Mus musculus: one gene and its partner. The protein of the gene in region 1 interacts with the protein of each later gene in a pairwise test. Links are inferred from orthologs where the notes say so. Each region holds a gene or a part of one and is shown in the gene's direction. Other genes may lie near its edges.

Region 1 (6,443 bases):
GCAACTCACTTCCCTAGCCACATAGGAGTTCTTTATGTCTACCAAATACATAATGAAGGATTTGATCTGCCTCATAGATAGGTTGACACATCACACTAACTGGTCAGTAACATTGAATTCCTAGTGCATGTCACTCTCACTTGGGGATAGCTCTTAGGAATACTCAGTATACCCAGGGAATCTTTCCTTTCAGCAGAGCTTGTATCAACACACTTTATTATTCAATTTTATATAAAGGAAGAAGTGGCCTGAAGTAAGATGTTTTTATCTCTCATTAATTCAGCCAATATCCACAATCATCAACACTATAGCATCACCAATCATCATTACTCCAATCTACAAATCCTTTCTCAGCACCCTCAGGCTGAAGGCAGAACTACAGAATCCACGGACACTCCTGGATCACTCAGTGTCCCATTGCTGGGAAGAGACACCGTGACCACAGCAACTCTCATAAAGGAAGACATTTAGCTGGAACTTGCTTACAGGTTGAGAGGTTTAGCCCATCGCCATCATGTCTGGGCATCATTTTGAAGTGATGTGTGTAGAGATTTAAAACCCAACTGAGGGCATGAGCAGATGAGTATAGATATAATATAATTTAATATAAATATTATATAATCATTATTATTATTGCTGTTCAGTTATCCAAACAGAAATATCAGAGGCAGAGAAGTGGATACAAAAATCTGGAGTTCAGGAGTTCAGAAGAGTCTAGCCTTCTGGAATACCACTCACTTCTCAACTGTGAGGAGAGCTGTAACATAGGTACAGGGGGTTGGGGGGAAGAACAAAATGGAAGACCAAATGACAACAAAAACACCCAAATGGAATTGTCAGCTAAGATGTCCAAGGCAAACATTCTGGAGCTCAGGAGGAAACACCAGGGAAGTCTATCCAAATATATAGAACTAGATCCTGTGAGAGTCATCTCAAGTAACCCCGACTAGAAGCTGATCATTGTAGCAACAAACATGTCCCTATTCATTATTTCTCCTAGGTCTCCCAAAATTTTATCTTAAGATAAACGGTGCAAATACTGTGCACAGCTCATCTGTCATATTCTTAAGAAATTCATGCCGAGCGGTGGTGGTGCACACCTTTAATCCCAGCACTTGGGAGGAAGAGGCAGGTGGATTTCTGAGTTCGAGGCCAGCTTGGTCTACAAAGTGAGCTCCAGGACAGCCAGGGCTACACAGAGAAACCCTGTCTCGAAAAACAAAACAACAACAACAACAAAAAATTCATCCTATGTGCCTAGTCCTGCAGTGACTTGATGTCACAGGGTGGGTTGGTATCCAAGAAGGTCTCCACCCCACCCCTTCTCAGAAGAGAAGGGAAGCAGAGAATGAGGGAGAGGCTGGGAAGGAGGGTGAGAATTGGAAGGAGGGGTAGGCTAAGATCCACATGCAAAGTAAATAAATAAATGGAAAAAAAACAGCAAAGAAAAAAAGAAGAAAGAAAACCATCCTGGTAGAGTATGTTATCCTAACTTCGCAATCACCTTTTCTAGTCCTACCTCATTGCGAACTCCTTCAGTATAAAAAAATTGAATGGCTTTTTTTAATTTTTATTTTTTAACCTGGAAATCAAAATTTGCAGCACTCAATCCCTGCCAGGGATGCGGCCTAAATGAATCACTTGTCTTATAGCTCGAACTCTCGGCATCATTTATGTTTCTCACACTGAAACAAGCAAGCATCACCTTTAAAACAAAGATTCTATTTCAGTATCTGATGTGAGGTGGCATGGGTGAAGTTTCTAAAAAAACACCCAAGAAGAAGGTCTGTGCAGTCAGGGTAGAGTATGAAGTGGGTAAATGACCAAAGCTGTTTATGGGAATTAAGTGTCCAGAACTTAAGGGTACTAGTGACATCTATCCCAGAGAATCTGACTTAACTCACTAAAGTTCTTCCAAGAATCTAGTTAGCAGGGTTTTACATATGCACAGGAGAGAACATTTAATGCGCTCTCAAATGAGTTGCTACAAATATTAGAATGGGTACGTCTACAAAAAGGAAACATCACCATTATCAACTCCTCAAATCAGCCTATGCTAACAGTTCTCAACATTCCTAATGCTGCAACCTTTTAATACCTTTCCTCATGTTGCAGTGGGTCCCAACTATTAAATTATTTAATTTCTACTTTAAAACTGTAATTTTGCTACTGTTATCAATTGTAATGCAAATATCTGATATATTGGATATCTGCTATATGACCACTATGAAGGAAGGGGTCGTTTGACCCGCAGGTTGAGAATCACTGGCCTATGTGCTTGCAAGCCCCGCCCCTGTCTTTTCCACGCCCACAGTCCGCCTCTGCCCCATCCATCAAAGCGCTGTTCCGCCTCCTCCAAGTCCATTGGCCAATCTGTTTTTCCTCTACTGTCTCCATTTCCGGCTCCACAGGGTCAACTTCCGGTGCAGAGAGACACGTGACCGGATACGGGAAGTGGCGGGTTCTGGCCGCTGCTTTTCCCTGTTCAATGAAAAGTGCTTCAAAGCTGCTATTGCTGCCGGCGCCCTTCCTGAGTCCGTCTTGGAGCACCAACCTCGGCCGGCCGGCTGGCCTCGCGGTAAGCTTCCGGCCGGGGACCTGCGGTCTTGGAGGTGGTAGCCTAAGTGGAGGCAGTGTTGCATCCGCGCCGGGTCGGCCACTCCCCAGTGACCCGGCCCACCCACCCTGCTCCACTTCGGGGCTGCAGAACCCGGGCTGCGTCCTTCCTTAGCCGGTGCTGTCCGGGGCTCTGGGAAAAGGCGGAGCCGGGAGGCAGCCAAGTCTCTGTCCACAGTTCCGCCCATCCGGGACAGATTTCATTTTTGTCCTACTAGCGTGGCCTGGAAGAGAAAGACGTGACCTGGGCTTCTGCTGGTCCGAATCAATATAACATGTCCTTATAAATCTTCTAAGTGCATTGCCCAGCCTCTGAACAGTTTTTTTTTCTGGATGACATGTCTCCGAGTTGAGATGTCACTGCAGTACATGGGCCCAACCCACTAAGGCACTAGCATGGACACACAGTGTAACGATGGCCCTATTAAGCTGAAGGAAGTATGTATGTACACAATGAACCGAGGTTAGCTGCCTCTGTAACGGGCAGCCTTGAGGTTTTAGAAGGCGAAGATCTAAAGAGAACCCAGAATATGGGCGTGGTTTTTAGACCTGGGAAATAGTTGTGAAGGCCACTATTAATAATACTGGCATAATGTAAAGTTCAGTATAAACACTGGAGAATTCATCTCTAGATCCAAAGAAGACTGACTATCACAATGCTACGTCAACCCGTTCATGTCTTAAAGATTCTCCATTATACCCCAGAGTGCTGCCTGGCACTTAGTGAATAGCAATATTTATATTAGCAATATAATATAGCAATATAGTAGCAATGCTTATGTCTAATTCCTTCATGAGTTATGACCAGCCCTCTGCTGTTTTTACCGTTTACCATGTACTATGGTGAATATTGGCCATTGCTAATGGTTCTTTTGGCCAGCTTTTACTATTGCAATCAAGCAGGTTACGCCAAGAGCTTGTTAGTGAGTACCCAACACACAAACCTGTGATAGAGCACCCCTCCTCCTCCTACTACTCAAGAGATGGCTGTGGAGATCTAGGAGATGACACTCATGTCCCCATTAGATAGCAAGCATTTGCCTCGTAAATACAGTAAGGGCTCTATACATTTACATGAAAAGAGCCGTGTGGATTGAGACTTTCATTGAGTCAACTAAATACAAATGGAGAAATGTAGGTTTGAATAAGGAAAAGATAGTGGTATGCCCTGCATGGGAAAGTGCTTAAGCAAAGAAAGAACAGAGTGTTCTGAGTGCAAGGCATGTCTTGAGAAAGCTGGGTTGCTGTTGACCAGGTGTGTGGTAGAATGAGAACTGCTTTAAAGTTATTTACTAGTTTTTCAGGGAACTTGTAGAAGCCTAAAGAAAAAAGAAAGAGATAACGGGTGCTATTACTTAAAGGCAGTAAGTCTTGGTGGCTGTGTTGGCAGCAAGTTGTGGGGGAGAGGGATAGGATATGTAGATGAAGAAGTTACAGGATATGCTCACAGATTTCACGTTGGCATGGAGGAAGCAATCAATTACAGTAGAGTTTGAATCTGGGTATTCTCTTACAGATGCGAAAGTTGGAAAGAGGTAACTCTGAGGGAGCGATCCCTGGTCTGTTATTGAGTGGGACAGTATTCCCTAAAATGTTTACTGAGTGTGCACTGTGTGCCTCTCGGCAAATGCTAGGAATATAAAGATGGATAAGATAAGGTTCTTGCCAACAGAGAACTACTTTTCGGAGTAGTAGAGGCTAGACGGCGCTAGCTATAAAACACAGGTTGGAAGAGCTGTAGTCAGCAGAGGTAAGATGGGGACAGAAGAGGAGTTTTTCTAGGAGAGAAGGCTTCAAAGAAGAGGCAGTGTGTTATCAGAATCCTTGAGGGCAAGTTGGAATTTGCAGTGACAAGAATTTGAGAAAAAGGGAAACAGTGAACAAAGCCCAGAGACAGTTTCCATAGCGTAAGATGGAGTAGAGCTTTAATGTCACATCCGGGCCCTAGGACATATTAAGGGGCATTGTACTGGCTGGGTTTGGGTGTCATCTTGACACAGGCTGGAGTTATCACAGAGAAAGGAGCTTCAGTTGGGGAAATGCCTCCGTGAGATCCAGCTGTAAGGCATTTTCTCAATTAGTGATCAAGGATGGGAGGGCCCATTGTGGGTGGTGCCATCCCTGGGCTGGTAGTCTTGGGTTCTATAAGAAGGTAAGCTAAGCAAGCCAGTAAGTAACATCCCTCCATGGCCTCTGCATCAGCTCCTGCTTCCGGACTTGCTTGAGTTCCAGTCCTGACTTCCTTTCGTGATCAACAGCAATTTGGAAGTATAAGCTGAATAAACCCTTTCCTCCCCAACTTGCTTCTTTGTCTGATGTTTGTGCAGGAAGAGAACCCCTGAGTAATACAGGCGTGCTGGCTAGTTTTAGGTCATTGTGGCACAAGCTAGAGTCATCTGAAAGGGAACCTCAGTTGAGAAGATGCCTCCAAAAAGATCTAGCTGAAGGGCATTTTTAAAGTTAGTGTATGATGGGGGCTGGCTCATAATGGTAGTTGCATGCTTGACTTGTAGAAGAAAGTGCCGGACTGTTTTCTAAAGCCTCCGAACCATTTGTGATCCTCCCAGCTGTGTGGGAGTTTCCTTCATCAGTGCTGCTGTGTGTCCATTGGGATTTTAGCTCTCCCAACAGTTGAAAGCAGTAGCTATCTCACTGTGGATTTCAGTCGCATTTCCCAGGTGGATAATGGTATGGAATATTTGGGGTTTCTGGTATGCATCTTTGCAAAAACCCAAGGGCAACTGCACATGGTGTTCTTCAGTGTACCATTCATACCCCTTTTCTTGGACATGGTGTCTCACCAGATTGGCATTCCACCAATGGGTGAAGCTGTCTGGTCAGTGAACTCCAGGGATCTGCCTGTCTCTGCTTCCCCACTGCTTGCTATGTGAGCTCTAGAAATTAAACAAGATTGGACTTGTGTCCTCCACGTACTAGGAAACACTTTACCAACAGAGCTGTTTCCTCAGCTCTGTAATGAATAATTTTTAGTATATTTATTGGTTATTTGTACTTGTGTGTGTGTGCTTGCATATTTGTATATATGGGTAGTATCTTGTGTGTGTGTGTGTGTGTGTGTGTGTATATATATATATACTGGTTTCTCTGATTTTATTTCCAAACTTGAAGCCCCATGCTTTTATGTTGTAGATGATTAATATATTTATGTATTAAGAATGTATCGTTCAAGTCATAAATGGAACACTTTATGAGGGAGGGCAGTGGTTTTGAGAATTATTCTAAATGTTTTTCAGCTGAGAAAAGATGACAGCAATCAAGCATGCGCTGCAGAGAGATATCTTCACACCAAATGATGAACGCCTGCTGAGCATCGTGAATGTCTGCAAAGCTGGCAAGAAGAAGAAGAACTGTTTTCTGTGTGCCACAGGTAGGTGGTTATTAAGCAAAAATATGTACTTGATACCTTCCTTAGGTCATACTCTCATTGTTTCTATAACTGGGAGAGTTATTGGGCTGATAAGTTAATTTTAATTGTTAATATTGATTGCTGGATGCTGTAAGAGAATTTTTATAGTGTATGTCTAAGGTGGCTGACAAGGGAAAAGGAGGACTCCGGGTGCGCAGTGTAGGGTGACAACAGCTCTTCTTTACCCCATTCCTTTCTGCTCTCCAGTGGTCAGTGTCTGGGATCCTGCATCTTACCACATTCCCCATGTGTAATTTCCATTTACTTGTCTTTAAACGTTTAATAAATTGAATTAAAATTCCTTGTGACCCTTCCCATTCAGCAGTAGATTCATGAGAATTTCGTTTTATTCTGGAGTTTTTATTGTTTTGTTTTTGAGACATGATTTCACTCTGTATTT
Region 2 (5,861 bases), on another chromosome or scaffold:
GGATGTAGTAGTGATGGAATTGGTTCTCTTACACTACATGGACGCCAGGGCTCAAACTCAGGTTGTAAGTTTGGCTGCACGTGCCATAAAGTGCTGAGCACCTCAGAGGTTCTAGCACACCTGTGGGACTGTGGCTGTAAGCTCGTGCCAGGGCACACTCCTAGTGTTTGCAAGACTGGGCTCAGTCCCAGCTATTACAAAAACTAAAACACATACATGCCCAATTCTGAGACACTGGTTTTTCTTTTGTCCTTTATGTGTTTTTATTTGGGGTTTGAGGAGGGATTCACCATGTAGGCTAAGCCAGCCCCTAAGTGCCTGCCCTGCGTCAGCCTCCCAAATTCCAGGGTTACAGTCGTGAATCACCGTGCTTTATGGATTATTGTTGTTCTAGGCCTGTTGTTTCCTTTTGACTAGGATGCATCCATTTGCTTATGGTTATACCCTTGCTCTGATTGGACTTTATTTGGTATGAGGAATAAGCTTGAAATTCAACTTAGTTTTTTGCCAGGGGACTGCTTTCACACCCTAATTTAATAGTATTTAATAGTATAGCCTTTGTCCCCTGACATGTCGTTATCACTATTACATAGTAAATATGTAAGATGCTGGCAGGTGTCCTCCTCACCCCACCTTGACTGCGACAGTGGACGGCTGTGTTGTCACTGCATTGTCACTGTGTCTGAGGAGCTGCTCCCTGCCTGCCACTCCTTCCCCACTGTTTGTTTTGGTAGTGGTGATGGGGTATTCCTAACCACTGAGCTGTCTCTCTGTGGACCCTAATTTTTGGCTCTTGTAACATGTAAGTTTAGTCTCAATGGCCTCCCTCATTCTTTTTGTGTTTCATTACATTAACTTTTTAGATTTATGTAGGGAACATTGATAGTTTTGTAAAATTGAGTTTTCCTTTCTGAGAAAGAACAAAGCCAATAACTCTTAAACAAATAATGATTTCCTGGAAAGCCTGGCACACCCTGACCATAGTGAGGGTCTGTCTTGAGAGCAGCCTTCCTCGTCTCCTGTCTCCTGTCTTCCACCCCTCCCCTCTCCTTATCCTAACCACTGGGGATCTAGTACAGGTTATGAAAATGTAGCTTCAAGCCCCACTGGACCCCGCGCAGCCCTTAGTTTCATTAATCAAGAGCCAACCGTTTGGGCTTTCATTTAACTGCTCTGACTTTGGAGCTGATTCTTGTCTCCTCTTAAGAAGTTGCTAGTGTGGTTAATCGCCAGTCAGCAGCGCGACTTAGCTGTGAGGTGTGTGGCTTCTGGCTGTAGTTACGTGGCTTTTATGGCAGTTTGCATTTACCTTTTGGTTCTTTTCAGAAGAACTCAGAAGAACAAGTTGCTGCACTCCAGAAGCTGCATGCAGAGGAGCTCGCCAGCAAAGAGCAGGAGCTGAGCAGGAGGCTTGAGGCCCGGGAAAGGGAGCTGCAGGAGCAGATGAGAATAGCTCTCGTAAGTGCTGTCTAGTACACCTCAGAGCTGCCGTCTGCTCAGGTGAGGTGGTGGATAAAAGGACAGGAGGAACCCAAGGGGGCCACTAGTTCAGTACTCGTCACATGAGGTCAGGGGTCCATCAGTCTGTGCGTGAGATGACGACGGCACAGTTGTCTCAGAGCCTAGCATACTGGCTTCCCAAAATTTATTCTGAACCGAAGTTTAAAGAGCAAAACTTGGAATTTATATGATGTTTAAAAAATAGAGTTAAAGAACTAACAAACTACTGAACTAACAAAATAATAGTGAGAAAAGCAAAGATTCAGACTTTTGCTGAAAAGGATGTGACTTGAAAATTTAAAACAAAAGGTAATTTTCCTCATTTGTGAGAACCTTTTATGTGAGTTACCACAAAGTTGTTTTCATGAAATTATCAAGAAAGTACATGAAATTATCATCCATAAAATAATATATATGATTTTTAAACATGTTTCATGCAAAAGGATTGGAAATGCTACCTGGGTCTGACTCTAAGTTGTCTGAGCATCTCAAGCCATATTGATTCTTGCCTGAGGCAACACGTTTTCTAATCTCTGGAAGCAAAATTGGCACTTGGATTTAGAGTACACTTATACACGGCTAGGAAAATAGTGTGGCGGAAACTCTGCCCAGGGGTGGTGCTGCATGCCTTTGATCTCAGCAGAGGCAGGGGAATCTCTGATTTTAAGGCCAGTCTGGTCTATATAGTGAGATCCAGGATAGTCAGTGCTACACAGAGAAACCTTGTCTCAAAGCAAGGAAAAAACAAATAAACAAAAACAAAACAAAACAAAAAACCACAGAACACAAAATTATAACTATTAAGGTACTTATAAGAATATTTATTTCAGCATAAAATATAAGTAGTTGCATGGAGATCAGAGAACAATGTGGAATGTAAAGGAAGGGCTGCTGTGTCCACGCACTGGCGTCCACGGTGCTTTCTGGGAATTGACACATTCAGCTGTATTTCAAGTGGAGGGAAAAAAAGATAAATGCATACATACACATGGAGCTCTAGCTTCTTAATTCAGCAGACTTGAAAATTTCTTCTATTAATATACCTAAAAATACTGAAATCAAGATTGTGAATAATTCTATCTAAATATTTCATATTTCAGTCTATCCTGTAATATGAAATCATTTTGTACAGCCCTGTGTGTCACCATGCTATATATAGTATGTCTAAGTACCACATCAATGCTTGCTTTTTAAGCAACAGTATACAGAAACATGCCTAAAGTTAGAGTATAATCTAGAAATTACAGTTTAGTGTGCTAGTTTAATGTTAAAAGTGCTTGTAACCTTTGCCATGGGTGTTGTCCTGTATAAGAATGGAGAATTTTCAGAGCTGGCTACACTGGAAAGCCTCAGAGCCCGGGTTCTGCAGATGAGGTGTTGCTTTGGGATTTATGTGGGATTGAGGTGGTATCAATTGTTTTTGGCACAGGAAAAGAGTCGATCAGAATATTTGAAGCTCACCCAAGAAAAAGAGCAGCAAGAATCCTTGGCTTTAGAAGAGTTAGAGCTGCAGAAAAAAGCCATCCTTACAGAGAGTGAAAATAAACTCCAGGAACTTGGGCAAGAAGCAGAGGCTTACCGAACCGTAAGTTCACGTGCTGTGTGGGCTCCAGAGCTGGGGATGTGTGTGTCTGTGAGACTGTCCCCAGAGCTGGGGGTGTGTGTGTCTGTGAGACTGTCCCCAGAGCTGGGTGTGTGTATGTCTGTGAGACTGTCCCCAGAGCTGGGGGTGTGTGTGTCTGTGAGACTGTCCCCAGAGCTGGGTGTGTGTGTGTCTGTGAGACTGTCCCCAGAGCTGGGTGTGTGTGTGTCTGTGAGACTGTCCCCAGAGCTGGGGGTGTGTGTGTCTGTGAGACTGTCCCCAGAGCTGGGGATGTGTGTGTCTGTGAGACTGTCCCCAGAGCTGGGGGTGTGTGTGTCTGTGAGACTGTCCCCAGAGCTGGGGGTGTGTGTGTCTGTGAGACTGTCCCCAGAGCTGGGGGTGTGTGTGTTTGTGAGACTGTCCCCAGAGCTGGGGTGTGTGTGTGTCTGTGAGACTGTCCCTAGAGCTGGGGATGTGTGTGTCTGTGAGACTGTCCCCAGAGCTGGGGATGTGTGTGTCTGTGAGACTGTCCCCAGAGCTGGGGGTGTGTGTGTCTGTGAGACTGTCCCCAGAGCTGGGGGTGTGTGTGTCTGTGAGACTGTCCCCAGAGCTGGGGGTGTGTGTGTCTGTGAGACTGTCCCCAGAGCTGGGGTGTGTGTGTGTCTGTGAGACTGTCCCTAGAGCTGGGGTGTGTGTGTGTCTGTGAGACTGTCCCTAGAGCTGGGGATGTGTGTGTCTGTGAGACTGTCCCCAGAGCTGGGGGTGTGTGTAGGGATGCATGTGTCCCTGAAGACATTTCTCTAGTCCTGGAATGAAGTATTTGTTATAGTGTAAGTGTATGTAGTTTTCTGCCCTTTTCTTGTCACTGTTAGAGATGTGTGACCTGCCACAGGAACGTGCTGACGGTATTTAGATCTGTCAGTCTTGTTAGGCCATGCAACAGTCACACTTCCCATAGTTGTAAGTTCATCTTTGCTCTTCCTTTACGGACAGTTCAGACACTGACGTGGTGCGGTGAGATGGCATTGACGCGGCTGAATCTGCACTGCTGTCTCTGCAGTGCATCTCTGCAGTCACCAAGGGGCTGGACCTGTCAGTGTCTTAGGACTGTTCCAGTCTGACGCTGTTCAGAGTGAAGAATTAATATTCTGTGAGAGAACAGCAACCTTTGGTTAAATATGGTTAAGAATATTCTTTAAGGAAAAACAAAACAAAACTGTGCAGGTTGGTGATGAGACAGCTCAGGATAATGTGTTTGCTGTACAGTCCTGGCCATCTGAACCTGATCCCCAACCACAGTGCAGAAAGAGAGCCAGCTTCCTGCTTCCCTGCCCTCTGCAGCCACAGCTGCACCCTCCTCCTCTTCCTCCTCCTCTTCCTTTTCTTCTTTCTCCTCTTCTTCTTCCTCTTCCTCCTCATGTCCTGTTCTTCCTCCTCCTCATCCTCTTCTTCCTCCTCTTCCTCTTCCTCCTCTTCTTCCTCCTCCTCCTCCTCACCCCCCACTTATGTGTATATGCACTTATATGTGTATATACACTTATGTGTATATGAATAATAAAATTTTAAAAGCTTTTAAGTATTTGCCTTTGGGGGTAGAAAACTGAGATTTTTTTTCCCCTCAAAATTGTTATAAAAGTAATAAAATACTATTATAAACCTAAAAGCATAGAGTGTGGAGATCCATCTTCCTACCAAGCTTGCTATCATTATTTGTTTTGTGGTTTATTTTCTTTTTGACTATCCCATTAGAATTTTTTGACTAGAGATACTGAGATCATTATGGGATGGTAAATAGAGGAAGTGCAGAGCTGAGTGTGTTCATGACTGCATTGGTGACTGAGCACAGCAGATTGTCGCCCTTTTCTTATGTTTGGTCTGCTATGTGAGGCATTCAAAGAACAGCCTTTAGATAGGCCCTGCAGTCTTTTATCATCACTAGTAAACAAGTATGCTGTTAGTAAAATACACCCAATTTTCATTAACAGAGAATTCTTGAATTGGAAACCTCTTTGGAAAAAAGTTTACAAGAAAGCAAAACACAGTCAGAGCATCTGGCTGTTCATCTGGAAGCTGAGAAGAATAAGCACAATAAAGAACTCACAGCCCTGGCTGAGCAGCATAGGACAGAAGTGGAGGGCCTCCAGCAGCAGCAGGACAGCCTGTGGACTGAGAGACTCCAAAGCCTCTCTCAGCAGCATCAGGCTGCTGTGGAGGAGCTCAGAGAGAAGTATCAGCAAGAGAAAGATGCACTACTGAAGGAGAAGGAGAGTCTCTTCCAGGCCCACATACAAGACATGAATGAAAAGACCTTGGAGAAGCTTGACAAGAAGCAAATGGAACTGGAATCTGTCTCTTCTGAGCTGTCAGAAGCACTGAGAGCTCGGGACCAGCTTGCAGAGGAGCTTTCTGTCCTAAGAGGTGATGCAGATAAAATGAAACAGGCTTTAGAGGCCGAGCTGGAGGAGCAGCGGCGTCACCACCAGCGTGAGGTTGGCAGCATCAGTGAGCAACAAGAACTAACCGTCCGCAGAGCTGAGAAGGCACTGAAAGATGAGCTCAGTCGGCTGGGGGCTCTGCTGGACGAGAGGGACGAGCACCTGAGAGAGCGGCAGGCCCGGGTGCAGGACCTGGAAGCTCATCTTCAGAAGTCTGCCGGGGAGCTCCAGCAGGCCTTGGCCAAACTAGATCTCTTGCACTCTGAGCAGAGCGCCGCACGCGAGCAGGCAGGTGCGTATGAGGAGCAGCTGGCCCAAATGCAGCAAAAGGTGTTAGACCTGGA

The links.
Region 2: the proteins of Exoc1 (region 1) and Golga4 interact in binary tests that used the Homo sapiens proteins (3 or more experiments, as listed by UniProt). The link is inferred for Mus musculus from reciprocal best matches to the Homo sapiens genes EXOC1 and GOLGA4.

The regions. Positions count from the first base shown.
Region 1 is NC_000071.6:76,526,885-76,533,327, forward strand, and holds the start of Exoc1 (exocyst complex component 1), read left to right. Parts: upstream 1-2,426; 5' UTR 2,427-2,578; intron 2,579-5,870; 5' UTR 5,871-5,880; coding exon 5,881-6,004; intron 6,005-6,443.
Region 2 is NC_000075.6:118,550,506-118,556,366, forward strand, and holds part of Golga4 (golgin subfamily A member 4), read left to right. Parts: intron 1-1,326; coding exon 1,327-1,458; intron 1,459-2,929; coding exon 2,930-3,085; intron 3,086-5,067; coding exon 5,068-5,861. UniProt on the Homo sapiens protein: Involved in vesicular trafficking at the Golgi apparatus level. May play a role in delivery of transport vesicles containing GPI-linked proteins from the trans-Golgi network through its interaction with MACF1. Involved in endosome-to-Golgi trafficking.